Linked DNA regions of Kluyveromyces lactis. The protein of the gene in region 1 purifies or fractionates together with the protein of each later gene. This does not show direct contact. Links are inferred from orthologs where the notes say so. Each region holds a gene or a part of one and is shown in the gene's direction. Other genes may lie near its edges.

Region 1 (2,771 bases):
CGTGCGGATCCACTCAATAGGTATCAGAGAAACATCTTCCATTGGGTTTGTGTTTGGACACTCTTTGCCCAGCCTGGGTGTCCAATCAGTATTCACCAAGCAACATTTCTCCATGGCCGACACAAACTTTTGCAAACTGTGCACAGGGAAATATTGTAATGGATGGTAAGATAATTCGCATATCCGTTGAATCGTGAACGGATACTTATCTCTTTTTGCAAATTTCACAACAAGGTACCTCGATAGCTCTTTCAATCTGTGTAAAAGGTCTTCCTCTTGGTCCTCGTTATAATTGAAGATCTCCTTCGGTATCGTTATGCTGAAATGTTCAGATAGCTGTGGGATCAATTGCGAAGGCGATATTTCGTTAAACGCGCTTAGATCTTTATCGATAACTATTTTAGTCAAACGGTCGTATAGATGTCTGGATTTTATTCCCATCATATTGACAATGTATCTGATTAATGAGCTGATAGTAGGAAAGGCTGGCAAAAAAAAAAAAATTCTACGGTATAGTAATATTACACTTGGTTAGATCTCCTTGAAATGGCACTAACGAAAGATCGGTGTTCTCGGGGTATTCTAATTAGCACAAATAAGTCCAGTATGAGCGATGCCTTTTTTATTCCAAACTGGCAGATATAGAATAGATAAAAAGGATAGTCTCGGAAAATAATATGAAACAACGGACTTGTAACACCTAGTCCCAATAGACAGTACACGGTTAGCCAATCCCAGCTCAGCCAGCAGCCTTATAAAGTTCGTTCTCTAGTCTGTTGATTGACCGTTCTATCTTTGTAGCTTAGAAACCTACATGTTATTTGAACAAATTTCTTTTATTTATCATTTCACATAATATTGTGCGCATATAACAAATTTCACCAACTTTTCACGTAACGAAATGTGATATTATTTAAAGGATTTCACTTAAGAACGGCAGGAATTTTAACACTTAAGTACGGAAGTTCTAAAGATACTATAGTTACATACCTGAATACAAAATAGATCAACGACATCTTTACTATAATATTAAAGGCTAAGGTGTCTAATAAGGTACAGTCTATATAATATCATTAATTATTCTTGGCAAGCTTGTGCTCAATGCACTGACAGGCAAAACTACCAACGGCACATAGAAACAGATCATTAGTAGTCACGTGTATTTATGCGGGTAACACTGTTCACACTGGCTCATCTCTGAACCTTTGATCAAAAAAATTTACGATTTTCAAACCAAATTCAATATCATCATATTCTGGTGAAGTAAGCTTGAATTTGGATCTAATGAGAGTTACTCTTAGATTGAATAGGTTCTGGTTGTATTGTGTGTGTCCTTGTGTGGTCCTTGTGTACACTGGCATCTATTCAACGGAAATTGTACAGTATGTTGAGAGCAGGAAGGTTTAGTCTGAGTCACGTCCATGCTAACGTTTTGGCAAGAAGTCCACTTGTACATGCTGCCAGTATACCGACCATGCAAACCAGATTCCAAAGTCAATCTGTGAATAATAATGCGTCTACAGGGGAGAAATTAGCTAGCCTTAGCGACGAACAGGTTGATGAATGGTTGAAAGTTATTGGATCGTTAGAAGAAGAGTTTTCGCAACAAGATTATAACCCAGCTACGTCCCTTGCACCAGGTAACCAATCTAGAATTAATATCTTGGAGAAGGCTATGGAATTGAACAAGCCCAGCTTTGAGCCAAGTCAAGAGCAAATAAATGAATGGGAAACGTTGAAGCAAGTTCCCATTCCAAAAAAACAGGATCCAGTTTTACAGCATGTAACGAATATGATTATGAGACACGGGAAAAGAGAAAGAGCTGAGAAGATTCTTTCAAGAGCGTTATATATTGTGTTCTGTCAAACAAGGAAAGACCCGGTAAAAGTTTTGAAAGAATCCTTGGATGTGTTGGCGCCTCTTATGGTTATCAAGACCTTCAAGACTGGTGTCGCAAAGGCCACTGTGGTTCCAGTTCCATTGAATCAAAGACAAAGGTTTAGATTAGCTTGGAAATGGATTGTGGAAAGTTCTGTGAAGAGATCATCGAGCGATTTCTCAGTAAGACTTGGTGAAGAATTGGTATCTGTCTTCAACGGTAATAGTTCAGGTTTCGAAAAGAGAGACTCTATTCATAAGACTGCTATTGCACACAGAGCTTACATTAACCTAAAATGATCAAAGTTCCAACCTCCACTGTATTTACTTGAATAAACCTGTACATATGTATACGTGAAATATAAATGAACGTTATCGATTTTCATAGTTATGCTGAATTTGTTGCTCTATCTTATATGCAATTCCTAGGCCCAGCAGACTTCCCGAAAAATTGGCCAAAATATCGTTTACATCAAAGGACCTTTTTCCTCGTGAGAGGAACTGTTGTGCAAATTCACTGCTCGTACTGGCACATACGCAGCATACAATAAATGCCAATAGATATTTGTTCATGGAAAAAGGTTCGTACGCAGCCAAATTCCTTGATCGTAGTCTTTTGGGGATGAATGCCGGCAACTGTACGGTATCACATTCAAACATCATGGTAAACAGAACGGTTTCAATGCAAAATACTATGCAATGGGCGAGCTTATCATGAGTTGATGTTATTAGCTTTAACCTGGCATCAGTAGTTAATCCGAGGAAGACAACAAAACATACACTCGAGAAAAATGTTACTGCGTATTTATATCTTATCATTTATCAATTTTCATAAAAACTCTCAATAAGAGTTGCATACACTCTACACAATTTCTAAATGAAGTGATAAACT
Region 2 (2,448 bases), about 670 kb from region 1:
CAATGTGATGTTGACCAATCTCAATCGCTTGATGTTACTCAAGTAAACTTGGTCCCCAACCCACCACAAAGAGGTGAGAATTTGACTATAGCTGCTGCAGGTGTCCTACAAACCACTATCGAAGAAGGTGCATACATCGACATCGAAGTTAGATTAGGTTACATCAAGTTAATCTCACAAACCTACGATTTGTGTGAACAATTGGAGGAGAACGACATCGACGGATTGAAATGTCCAATCGAGGAAGGTGTCTACGAGTTGAACAAGATCGTGGAGATCCCTAGCGAGGTGCCACCTGGCAAATACTCTGTCATTGCTAGAGCTTACAACGTCGACGATGAACAGATCACGTGCCTAACTGGTGAAGTAATCTTCCCAGCGTACTAGACACACCTGTCACAAAGGCTACCTGTCTCTCACTGACCTTACCCAGTGTGAGCCAAGTATAAGGTCTCCTCCTATAGCGACGTTGCAAAGCTGTGGAGTTCTAGGTCCATGTACACGTGACCGAACCGATTACGGCACCTTTTTACCCGTCTTGCTATATATAATATTAATTGAATCACAATTTGAATTGGTTGATCTCTCTCCTCCGTTACCCCAGGTTAGGAAGAGGTCCTAATTTGTATTACATATATCTAGTATACCCTCCTCTATACTATCCCTACCTGTCCAGTCAACAAACGACCACTGTCATCTAATAATGCTAAGAACTGTCTTCAACAAACCATCAGTGTTGAAATCTGGAGTTAACTCGATTACAAAGCAATGCCGTTCTCTTCACGCAAATGCTTACTTGTTGAACAAGGGCAACAGCAACGGTGCTGAGGGCCAAGATGACGATGTCACGGTGAGAATCAGAATCCCACCTATCAAGAGAACCGGCGAGTCTCTAGACAAGAAGCGTGCTAGATTAATTTATCAGTCCAGAAAGAGAGGTATTCTGGAAACAGACTTACTTTTGTCACGTTTTGCTGCTAAGTATTTAAAGGAAATGACCCCAGAACAACTAGAAGAGTACGACCAGTTGTTGAACGAACTAGATTGGGATATCTACTACTGGGCCACAGAAAACTATTCCATTACACCTCTTCCTGACAGATGGAAGAACTCCAATATTCTAAAACAATTGCAAGAGTTCAGTAAGAACAAGGATCGTGAAATCCTAAGCATGCCTGATCTTTCCAAATACTGAACATCAGCGGTATACGTACTTGCCAATTAAGCAACAGTATAGTCTATAGCTCTTATTTTATACCCATATGCTCTCTCTCCCTCTGTCGCGGCAGCTCATCATTTCCAGGGCAGGCCCAAGTGAAAAATTTAACCCGTACACCGCATACTTAGATCCAACATTGGCGAAAGTCTCAAAAATTTTGTTAAGATCATAAAGAATGATATCGTTTATATGATGGAAAATATCATAAATGTAGTCGCGTAGTCCGTTCTAGAGGTCTTGTAAGGTCGTGTTGCGAAGGGTACGTCCAAGATATCAAGTGTTCATATATTAAAGCATGTCCAGTAAGACTCCTCTTTATAAATTACCACCTCTTCCCAGACTTAAGGTGAAAAAGCCAATTATTCAACAAGAGGCTAACAGATGCTTGGTATTGATGTCCAATCTATTACAATGCTGGTCTTCTAACGGACACATGTACGGTGCATGTGAGACATTGGCCCAAGATTTGAAGGCATGTACCGCGGAAAATGCCTTAGGTAAGAACCAAAAAGTCCAGAAGAGTAATATCAACTATCATGCTGCTAGATTGTACGATAGAGTTGGTGGAAAATCTCATGATTAGAAAGAAGCAGACAGACTTTCTCCCCCTTCGTTATCACTTGTACATAATACCATTTTCTAATATTACATATATCATCTAAAATCAAGGAATTCACGATTTATTAAATATGATAGAGATTTTTGTAGCTATTTGTGAGTGGATTCATCTCAAACTTTTCTGGCGAGTCTGCCAGCTCTTTCCCACTCGTCTTTCGTTAGATACCATCCCGGATGGAACTCAGATGAATCATGCTGTTTGATGGTATTAAGGTCATTCTCGTTAATTTCGTTACAATGCATGTTAGAATCTCCTCTGTAATTGTTTTCAATTTCCCATTGGAAATCGCTATGTTCAGTCTCGGCCTTTGTCATGGAGCCTATAGGTTCTGGTATCCGTAGGTATGGATTTCTCAATGTGTTGTTTACACTGCCCAATGAAGTGAATCCCATCTCATATAATCCGCATACTTCTTCTCCCGAATACAATAGGAAACTCCATATCTGTGAGAGATTCCAATGTAGCAACGGTTGCAACCTGTAGAACTGGGGCCAACTGGGGTCCGTCTTTTGAATTGGTTGCAACGTCTCCCCAAATGGATCTGTGTGTCTAATGCCGATTACTATTGCCTGAGTCTCTGGATGTACCGATAAGAACGACTTGAAGGCAC

Evidence for each region. The genes of interacting proteins can lie anywhere in the genome.
Region 2: the proteins of RSM7 (region 1) and MRP10 purify together in Saccharomyces cerevisiae (affinity purification with mass spectrometry; 3 studies listed by BioGRID). This does not show direct contact. The link is inferred for Kluyveromyces lactis from reciprocal best matches to the Saccharomyces cerevisiae genes RSM7 and MRP10.

What each region holds. Positions count from the first base shown.
Region 1 is NC_006041.1:512,101-514,871, forward strand, and holds RSM7 (mitochondrial 37S ribosomal protein uS7m), read left to right. Parts: upstream 1-1,384; coding exon 1,385-2,179; downstream 2,180-2,771. Other genes in the region: PSY4 (Psy4p), read right to left, coding at 1-444; KLLA0_E05765g (uncharacterized protein), read right to left, coding at 2,252-2,698.
Region 2 is NC_006041.1:1,177,936-1,180,383, forward strand, and holds MRP10 (mitochondrial 37S ribosomal protein mS37), read left to right. Parts: upstream 1-1,514; coding exon 1,515-1,802; downstream 1,803-2,448. Other genes in the region: NPC2 (sterol transporter), read left to right, coding at 1-387; succinate dehydrogenase assembly factor SDH5, read left to right, coding at 704-1,195; FAD1 (FMN adenylyltransferase), read right to left, coding at 1,949-2,448. UniProt on the Saccharomyces cerevisiae protein: Component of the mitochondrial ribosome (mitoribosome), a dedicated translation machinery responsible for the synthesis of mitochondrial genome-encoded proteins, including at least some of the essential transmembrane subunits of the mitochondrial respiratory chain.